3 linked regions of the Kluyveromyces lactis genome follow. The protein of the gene in region 1 interacts with the protein of each later gene in a pairwise test. Links are inferred from orthologs where the notes say so. Each region holds a gene or a part of one and is shown on either strand. Other genes may lie near its edges. The genes, in order: SKP1, ROY1 and LUG1.

Evidence for each region.
Region 2: the proteins of SKP1 (region 1) and ROY1 interact in binary tests that used the Saccharomyces cerevisiae proteins (3 or more experiments, as listed by UniProt). The link is inferred for Kluyveromyces lactis from reciprocal best matches to the Saccharomyces cerevisiae genes SKP1 and ROY1.
Region 3: the proteins of SKP1 (region 1) and LUG1 interact in binary tests that used the Saccharomyces cerevisiae proteins (3 or more experiments, as listed by UniProt). The link is inferred for Kluyveromyces lactis from reciprocal best matches to the Saccharomyces cerevisiae genes SKP1 and LUG1.

The regions. Positions count from the first base shown.
Region 1 is NC_006041.1:1,507,373-1,509,988, reverse strand, and holds SKP1 (SCF ubiquitin ligase subunit SKP1), read left to right. Parts: upstream 1-1,555; coding exon 1,556-2,104; downstream 2,105-2,616. Other genes in the region: PEX3 (Pex3p), read left to right, coding at 1-1,250; YSP2 (Ysp2p), read left to right, coding at 2,469-2,616.
Region 2 is NC_006038.1:761,411-765,048, forward strand, and holds ROY1 (Roy1p), read left to right. Parts: upstream 1-1,356; coding exon 1,357-3,006; downstream 3,007-3,638. Other genes in the region: tRNA methylation protein TRM732, read left to right, coding at 1-842; PET111 (Pet111p), read left to right, coding at 3,552-3,638. UniProt on the Saccharomyces cerevisiae protein: Non-SCF-type F-box protein involved in the endocytic with the vacuolar sorting pathway. Acts as a repressor of YPT52 by inhibiting the formation of active, GTP-bound, YPT52. Involved in the defense mechanism against methylmercury toxicity.
Region 3 is NC_006037.1:218,968-223,101, forward strand, and holds LUG1 (Lug1p), read left to right. Parts: upstream 1-1,178; coding exon 1,179-3,533; downstream 3,534-4,134. Other genes in the region: mitogen-activated serine/threonine-protein kinase KSS1, read left to right, coding at 1-713. UniProt on the Saccharomyces cerevisiae protein: Substrate recognition component of a SCF (SKP1-CUL1-F-box protein) E3 ubiquitin-protein ligase complex which mediates the ubiquitination and subsequent proteasomal degradation of target proteins. Probably recognizes and binds to phosphorylated target proteins.

The sequences.
Region 1 (2,616 bases):
CGTTGTACACTCTTTATGAATTGATGCCGGTAATGACGTTAGTGTTGGCTAAGGATTTCGATCTTGATTCTATTGTAGAGGCTCTAAAGGGGAAAAAGTTACAGAAGAAGCTTTCCAAAGGTGAAATAGCTGGGAATGAGTTGGAAAATGAGGGCTTAAGTTCAGGAATGAGTGCGATGACGCCTGCACCCAGTGTGTCAGCGAAATCTCCGCAATCTGCAGATACCACTAGCGTTTCTGAAACGTCTACGAAATCCAAGGCCGAGCTTTGGGACGATTTGAAACTCAAAGCTATCACCAAGATCATTATCTTGTCCTATACCACATCATTATTGATGCTTTTAACCCGATTGCAATTGAATATATTGGCAAGAAGAGAGTATTTGGATACTGCCATCAATTCTGCCATGGAAAAGGAAAGGGAAAAGAAGGCTAATCAATACTCAGTCTTATCTTGGTTCTCTAGTTGGATCACTGAAAAGAGCAACAATTTACCCAGTGAAAAAGCTGACCCAAGAAACAGCGATGGTACTATTGACACGGACACAAGGAGCATTGCATCCACTGCGAACCCTGAAAAATCGAGATACGTTAACGAACAAGCTTTCTTATCCTTATCGTGGTGGTTATTAAACCGTGGATACCTACAATACAAGAGTATCATTGAACAATTGGTGAAAGAAGAGTTCCAAAATTCGAACCCAAGAGATATCATGACAATGGATGAGTTCAGTGGCAAGATAAGCAAGATATTCGTCACCACAAACAAGCAATTCTTTCAACAGCCACAATCGAATGAAATGTTCATTTCATGTCTACTTCCTGAACCTAACTTAGAGAGATTTGTTCTTCAACAAACTTTAGAACAAGATGCTTTGAAAGTACTATACGAGGATAATCTATTACTAAAACAACTTGTACAAGAGACCAACAAATGCCTACAATCACCTGGAACATGGATTGTCCTGGAGTCTTTAATCGATGAAACATTCCACACAATCATGGAACAAATCGAGGATAATGTCAACAGCAAATCGAAACCTAAATCGAATGATGACGACACCAAAGTAGTCGATATATCCAAAAATTCATATCAAATCGCATTATTCTCTATCGCCACGAAAGACTGCACAAACGAAATGTTGAAAGCGGGACTCGTATCAATGAACAACAAGTTCCTACAGAAACTACACTCCATCTCGGCACTTGACGATCTCAGTGCATGCGTATATAGTAACTTCGGTCTATGAAAACCTTACTTGGCCCTCCATTCAAGTACTGAAATCGCTCCATACCGTGTATGTAGATAGTTCTATAGTTAACGTTACTCTTTCACTGGCACTACGGGGTTTCTCTTCCTGTTTCTTTAATGGCCACGTGATCATAATTTTCTTTTCCTTAAGGTCAAATAACGAAAAGAATCGAATTCCCAACAGGTTGTCAATCAACATGTTATACATCTCAGTTAATGTTTGCAAGTGGATAGGAGCTTGGTGTTTGTAGTTAGTTAGCACCATAGAGTTACCAAGTGGGTTCTATTTAGTACCAGAAAATCATGTCCAAGGAAAACCAGAACGTTGTTTTAGTGAGTGTTGAGGGAGAGAGATTTGTCGTTGACAGGAAGATCGCTGAACGCTCACTTTTACTAAAGAACTACTTGCAAGATCTTAACAGTGGCGATTTGCATGATGATAACGATGCTGACGATGACGAAGATGATGAAGAGGATGGTGACGATGAAATAGTGATGCCCGTGCCCAATGTGAGGTCGTCAGTATTACAGAAAGTGATCGAATGGGCCGTTCATCACAAGGATTCCAATTTCCCCGATGAAGATGACGACGATTCGAGGAAAGCTGCGCCTGTGGATCCATGGGACCGTGAGTTCTTGAAAGTGGACCAAGAAATGTTATATGAGATTATTCTAGCAGCTAACTATCTAAATATCAAGCCATTGTTGGATGCTGGATGTAAAGTTGTTGCGGAGATGATTAGGGGCAGAACACCTGAAGAAATCAGAAGGACCTTCAATATCGTTAACGATTTCACTCCAGAGGAAGAAGCTGCCATAAGACGTGAAAACGAATGGGCAGAAGACCGTTAAACTTACAAGTTTTCTTGTTGTTTTCTCTTTCTGTATCTACATCCTCTTCAGTTTAAAATAGCAATTTCCCTCATTTCCCGTATGTAATCAATAATTTAAGTACTTGCTTGTTAAGCGGATCTTAATTGAAGTAGTGAATTTGAGTCATGGGCAAACGCAGGGATCGCTTTCATATCGCATTTATAGCTTCAAGGTCTGTCTCTGCACCGATAATTTTTCATTTTTGTACCTATATATAATATTTAAAGAACGCGCTACCTTAAATTGAAACTTTTTGCTTCTGGTTTTATCTATTCAAGGCAGAACTGCATCGATAGATGCACCATAGGACCCTTGTTACTGGTATACTTGGTGTAGGATTGTGATGACGTTGACCATTGGTGAGGAGACCAAATCCAGACTAAGATCGCTAAGCGGGAATACTAGTTCGTTGCTAAATTTAAACAAACGCAAGAAGAAGAACAAGGAAAAGAAAAAGGATAAGGACAAGAGTCAACCAAAGTCTCAGGGCA
Region 2 (3,638 bases), on another chromosome or scaffold:
GGTGTGCAGTGAAAGCTGATACTCTAACAGTATTGCGTATGGCTAACATCAAGGTGAAAACGTTCAAGTACTTAGATTTAGCTTCCGATAAAAGTGAGATGTTACAAAGTAGTTTGTTAGAGAACATCAGCGTTTTCGAAAACGTACCGGAATCCGTTTTCTGGGAATTGATCGATAGCAACATTTCAGATGAGAGTCCCGACCATTTGAGGCTCTCTGCAACCCAATGTTTGATGCATTCTTACCGTTCGGCACCAGATGACAAAATCCTCTTCAGGATCTATCAACAGCTCTTTGACGATTCCTCAGATGTCAGATTAATGACGGCTAGGTTTATCAATGAACATGTTTTGCAAGTGGTAGAAAAAAATTTAAACTCTTCTCCTTACTCTACAAGTTTGAGGTGTGCAGAGATGCTCCCACAAATATTTCGTTCAGATGACATCAGCCTCACCTTGATACAGCTCTTGGAGCAATTATACGAAGGTTTTATGATCAGCAATGTGAACTCCAGTGCAGAGAACGAGCTATTTGATGTAGAGAAGGACAACCAATATCGAAATGAGTTGCAGCTCGGAACTCAAACGATTGCCATGTTAAAGGGATTAGGCCATCTACCAATTTCCATCCAACTGAAAAAGGTAAAGCAGAACCTATCTGATGTTGTTTCTGGCCTTAAAGCAGAAGACCGAGATGGTTTCTTCAAATGGGGATCAAACCCTGAAATATTCAATAAGCTTTCTCTCCAGAGAAAACTACTGCAATCATTCGGTGAAGATCTTTCAGAGATAGACGCCAAACTAGAATTGCTTAACTGTCATCCCTTAATTTTTGAAATATAGATCACCTCAACGATTATCAAATCTTATATCCAATATAAGATATTAGCATATGCTAGATAAGAATATATATTACCATCCTGCATTTTAATCCATTACATGACGTCCGGAGATACGTAGATCCATGTATAAGGAATAGCCTCATATGTGATGGCTCTATCAGGTTATAGTGCACATCTAATTGTCATATTAACAACAACATGACTCCGTGGCCAAGCTGGTTAAGGCGTGCGACTGTTAATCGCAAGATCGAGAGTTCAATCCTCTCCGGGGTCGTTTATTTTTTATGTCCGTACACTATTATTCCCAGTGTATTTCGTTGGGAAAGTTTACAAAAAAAAGGTTGGAAAGGAAGGTGCTTAAAATAAGGTGATGAGCTATAAGAAACACACATAAAATTGAATTATATTGTCGCTACCGGCTTGTTGTTTGAATTGAGAGAAATCTATTGTGTGAAACCGATCCTTATTACTGTATTCTGTTCCTCTGAACTTAGGATTGAGGATTCTTCTAGATAATGACTCAAGGTATTTCGTTGGAAGACGTTTTTGATGATGTGGCTAACTTTTTGAACCAGAACGATCTAGCGTCACTCTGTCTGGTAAGTCGCCGCTTCAATGAGTTGGCGACTCCTCGACTATACGCTGATATCACAATTAATAAGAATCCAGTATTGCGCTCGAAAGACTGGTGGATTGAGTGTGGGAAAACGTATGTCGCTGGGTATCGATCTATAACCAAGAGTAACGACCAAAATGATTTATTCTTATACGATAGGATATGCAGACTTTTAGAAAGCAAACATTTGTATCTGATACGGACTCTGGTAGTTCAGGAAGATGTATTCAATGATACAGAGGCCGGTATGCCGTTATTACAACGATTAATTGATAGTGTGAGATCGTTAAATCAAGTAACAAATTTGGATATTAGAGACTCCGTTCTCTTCCAAGCTAACAAAGAGAAGTTGAAAGGTATAAGACCATCTAAGGTGATGAGAATCCAAGAAATTGGTTCTTTGAACGATATATCAGATCTTGAGCAGCTCAAATCGCTAGAGATTTTTGTGACATTACCATCGTTTGATAATGTCATATTGTCTGATGCAGTGAAATTCAAACTCTTGGCAAACTTGGAGGAATTGGTGATAGAAGACATAGAGTTTTCTTCTCTTAGAGTGTTTTACTATTTCAAGGAACAAGGAGTGGTATTCACAAAATTAAAGAGTGTGAAGTTCAACCATGTCCATGGCATACACGATTATAACAAGACGTATCGTGAATTGACTGCTGATTTCTTGAAAGAAGTGATCCCGTTGAAACAGTTACAGTCATTAGAAATGGAGTTAGCATGTGAGATGTCGGAATGTACTTGCATCGATGATTTTTTGTCCGAAATCTCTAGCGAATTAGTATCTTTGAGGAACCTTGCCTTGATCGAGAAAACTTTCGTTACTCAAGGTGACCATTACACTGAGGAAAATTGGGATCTTTCCATAAACAGATTCATATTACATTTACCTAATGTAAGCCAGAATCTACAGACTTTAAGTGTCAGACACAATTGCCCAATTAATGGAATACAGAAGGATAGTGTTGAGGGGAACTATATCAGAAGAAGAACTTTGTATGAAGAGGTGCTTCCTCATTTGAAATCGTTGAAGAAATTATTTGCTCCCACTATCTTGCAATCGTTGAGTTCCTATGAGATTCTTGTATGTGATCTCTTATGGAATGGTTGCGAATGTGAGAAATGCACTAAAGTGCTAGATATTTTCGACCAATTCATTCAGAACCATCAATACTACTCTTACGAGGAAGGCCAATACAAGGACATAATACCGACTGTTTTCTTTGCATACGCTGGTGATTCACTTTGTCGTAGGTTCCTGACCGAAACAGATTGGGATTTAAAAGCATTGCAGTATTCTCCGACGCAACAAATGTGGGATTTTCACGGATACGAAAACGTCTATCATTTCCAGGACTATAACTGCCATTTTGACGAATCTGCATATACCCATCTAACGCAGGTGATTTCCCATTTCTTCGATGACTACATGAAAACTTTGGTGAAACTCCTCCCAAACTTAACCGTCTGTCTTCTATCAGGTATTTATTACCAAGTATCAGATGATCGCCAGTTCTCGTCTCAATACGATAGGTAATTCACCTTACCAATCCAATGTATATTGTGTTATGTATCTTATACAAATCATGATATCTCCGATTTCACTAGATAATGAAAATCGATTTTACTCAGTTCAAAAGTAAGTTATAAGAATTCAATGAAGCACTGACGTGGTGAACATTCGCCGCAATTGTGCAGTGGCAGCCCCTGATAGTATGATCACAAACCTTTATATTTGTGTCTGATCTGCTTATGTTATAGCTTTACCGTTCAATATGATAGCTTCAAGTATCAAAAAATTTGAAGGACATGGTGTGAGAGAAGAGATGAGCGGTCATAGTACAACTTGTTTAAGGATATCCATTACAATTGGTGAGTGAACCAAGCCTTAGTTAAGCCCAATTCAGGACCGAACTATATCTGATCCTTTCTGCTACCCGTTTTTTTTTCCCGCTCTTTAGCTGGTGGGTTACTACAATAAATTGTTTGAAGATAGTTTCTTAAACAAATCCATCAAGCTTATTGACATTGTTGTCGCATAGCTGAATCAAGGGCAGGGAAGAGTAGGTGCAGGTGGGAATTATGTCGCTATTGAAAGTTTCAGCGATGAATGCCAGGCTTCCCAGCAACGTGACTGTAATACGACGTGGGCTGAACGTTTGCCTAAGA
Region 3 (4,134 bases), on another chromosome or scaffold:
TAAAATCGCTACATTCGGCACAAGTAATCCATAGGGATTTGAAACCAAGTAATTTGTTACTGAATAGCAATTGTGATCTCAAAGTGTGTGATTTTGGGTTGGCTCGTTGCCTGGCATCGAGTGATCAATCAAGAGAGAATATGGTGGGTTTCATGACAGAATATGTAGCTACCAGATGGTATAGGGCTCCAGAAATCATGTTGTCCTTCCAAGAATACACAACTGCAATGGATATCTGGTCATGTGGATGTATACTAGCAGAAATGATCATGGGTAAGCCGCTTTTCCCAGGTAAAGATTACCACCATCAACTCTGGATCATCTTAGAAGTTTTAGGGTCTCCAACTTTGGAAGACTTTGAACAAATCAAGAGTAAAAGGGCAAAAGAATACATATCTCAACTACCCATGAAGAAAGGTATACCCTGGGCTAATGTGTTAAATAAAGAAGTTAACCCTCTTGCTATCGATTTATTGTCCAAGATGCTAACTTTCAACCCAGACAAGAGGATCAGTGCAGTTGAAGCGTTGGAACATCCATATTTGGCAACATATCATGATCCAGATGACGAGCCAGATTATCCCCAACTAAACCTTGAAGACAATTTTTGGAAAATTGACAACGAGGCCCGCGATAAAAACGAGGAAGACGATATTCCACTGGAACTGTTGAAAAAGATGCTTTATGGTGAAGTTATGAAGCCTCTAAATTGATATGTTCGATATTCTATGAACTAAAAAAAAACTATCCGCATAGTCTTTGAATGAATGTACTGAGACTCAAGGATTTTACGTTTCATGGGTACTTCTCATTAGGACGCCTAGTCTGTCAAATTGAGGAAAAGTAATACAAGAATTCTCATACTCATATTAGACAATCATATAGTTAATTACATAACTAAGTAAAGCTACGAATAACCACATCACGTTTTTCATACTCTTTGATCCCTTATGAACCTTAAGTGTACTTTATGCCCTGAAATGAAAAATAAAGTAGCGATATAATTAGAATGAACAAGAACTTGAACAAAAGACCCGCATCAATAGAAGAAAAAATGAAAACCAAAGTGGATCTTAAAGAAATCATCAAGAGCACCAAAACAGGTGCAAATAGCTTTAAGGATTGGTGAAGTGTATAAAACGTGTTATTCGGGGCTCGCATATCATAATTCGTTCAATATGATCAGTGAAACATCGACGATGCGGTTACCTTCAGAGATAGTCTATGAAATCTTATCATACCAGTTCAAGGATCTTATGTCTAATGATCACTCAGCTACTAGTGAGAAATATCACTCCAATATCAAAACTTTCTTAGGATCGAACTCTACTGTTAACAGGACATTCCATCATGTATGCAGAGTACTCATTTATAGATATTTGAACTTTACTACAGCAAGGTCATTCCACAAGCTTTTAAACACTTTAAAAGAGGATGATCCTGGATTAAGAAAGTTGGTAGAGGTAGCAGACTTTCAAGAGTTAACATCGATTGGTCTTGGACGGACTGGAGAAATGAATAGGATGATCAAAAACCTCACAAATGAAACTCTTTGGGAATTCTTATTATTGACCAAAAATACGCTAAGGGAATTTCTAGCCAGTGAGCATATTCAGGGAGATATAGACGAGAGGATAGTCCATTTCTTACTTTCTCCTGGAACAGTGTTGAGTGTGGTAGATTTCTGTGGATGTTCCGGATCCGTTTTCACAAAACAGTTTGTTACAGCAGTAGAAAAGATGGCGGCACACCCAAGTTCTCGTGAAAACTTTCAGATTACATGTCTAGGTTTGAATGACTGTACAGACATTCCAGATAATACCCTTTCAAAGCTATTGAACCTTCTGCCGGAGTTACAGAAGTTAGATTTAACGCATACTGCTATTGACGATGGTACTCTAATAAATAATTTACCACATTGGAAAAATTTGACACATTTATCCTTTGGAGAATGTTTGCAATTGACGCCAAGAGGAATTTTGGAGTTCTTTTCATACCATCCAGCTGTAACAGATGAAAATAACAATAGTACGCTACAATGGCTAAACGTGCAAGTGCATCCACATACGTCAACATGGACCGATACGCAGACATTGTTTTTGTTAAAGAAGTTATGTCAATATGGACACAATAAAACGTTGGAATACCTTAACATCGGAGGACTGCCATTGCACTATTCAGATGACCGCACGCTAATCAAAACTCCGCACTATTATCAGTGCCATGATTCCTTACAGTTTATAAAGTTGAATTTTCCAGCATTGAAAAGTTTGAATATAAAGGATACTAATGTACCTTACGATAGAATAATACAGTTCCTATCACCTGTTCATGATAGTGACATCGAGGTTGAACAAAAGTTAAAATTTTTAAATATCTCGAACAACTCCTATATTAATCGATGGACCATCCAGGATCCTGCATTATTCACATGTTCCGATTCTTTAGTGTCATTGGAATTATCATTTGACTCTTGGCAGCAGATTGAAAACCTGAATGATCGTCATGAATTGAACTGTTTCAAAAACAAGACTGGAAGAACATCAATTATTCAAGATATAAAGAACATGGAAAGCGTCAAATGGAAATGTTACATCGATTCATCTTATGGTAGAAGGTATTGGCTATACAAGTGTGACCCATATTTGAATCGTGAAAATATCGACCAAGCAGCCTCATTGACCAGATACGATTCCGATGGGAGAAAGATCATTGAGATCGTAAAGCAACCCGACTTTCTTAAATTCGCCCAAAACAAGATCATGTTAGGATGTGGTATTGTTCCAATGAATTCTGCAAGAAGAAGATTAATATATAAAGACATGAAACCTCCAATTTCAAGATTTTTCAATAGAGATGGCCGGTTCGCCACACCAGGCACACACGCAATGCCTATTCTCTCACCAAGACTCCCACCTGGTGGATGGAGGCTTATCAGAAATGATGACGAGGATACTACTACAGAAGATGACGCAAGTACAATTGAAGAGAATAGTCCAATAATCCATAACTCGTTCCAATCGCTTACTTCGATTCCCGAGACGCGCCCACCTCTTGTGCGAGAAAACACAAGAGATGCCATCTACTGGGACAGATCCGCAACCTCTGCAGATCCCACTCTTACGGAAAGTGAATACGAGAATGCTGAAACGGACTATGATTATTTGAACGATCCTGAACTTCAGAGAAGAAGATCACAGATGAGCTTGTTCAATAGTTATCATCGTTCTTCTTCCAAAAATAACCTCAACAACAACAATAACGGTAACACATCCAATCTGACGAATGCATTCAAGCAACACTCACAGTCTCAATCTCAATCCCAAACGTCTTTGCCACACTACTTGTCCACTCCTTCTTCTGAACACTATAAAAAAAACGACAAAAACAAACTAAGTGCAGATTACGTTTATGACCCTAATGAACCAGAAATGAACAAGCGGTACCGTATCCACTACGAGCAACTGCAAGAATACAAAGTATTTGGCACTGTGGAACGCGGAATGTATCGCTACTATTCTCTCAAGACTTAATCAAGCTTGCCCTTTTTTATGTAAATTGTGAATCATTTGTGACAAATCGCATATACTGTGTCTAGAGAAATTTAAATTTAATAATAAATACACCTCACATCACGCTCGCACAAAGTTTGCGGGCCTCTTATGCAACCCAGTGCTGGTACCTGCATCCCGTCCTATAGCTTCCTTTGTGCAGTTTGGCCATAGACACAGTCAGGGTAGCTGACTGGCAGTTCATTACTATACCTAATTGGGAAATAAATAAACAAAAGGCAACTGTTATGCCTTTTCTGTTCACCCCATTGCTGGGTTCGTAGGAGCTTTTTTTTTTTAGTGCACGATTGTCTCTCGAGAATGAAAAAAAGTGCAATTTAACGACAGGTACTTTCGACTGGCTTCTTTTGGGAAAACCTGATCTAGTAAGAGATGCAAATAGTTTATATTTAGTGTTACAGTGAGTAATATCTGCATTGAGCACTGTGTGTTAGAAAAAACAATCTAAAGACACTGCATACCAGCATCTTTCCTCCTTTCCTTTGTTGTCTCCTCATCTTGGAATCACTTTCACAGGCTCATCAACAACCTCACCAGACTTAATTTACAATCAGTAATTATT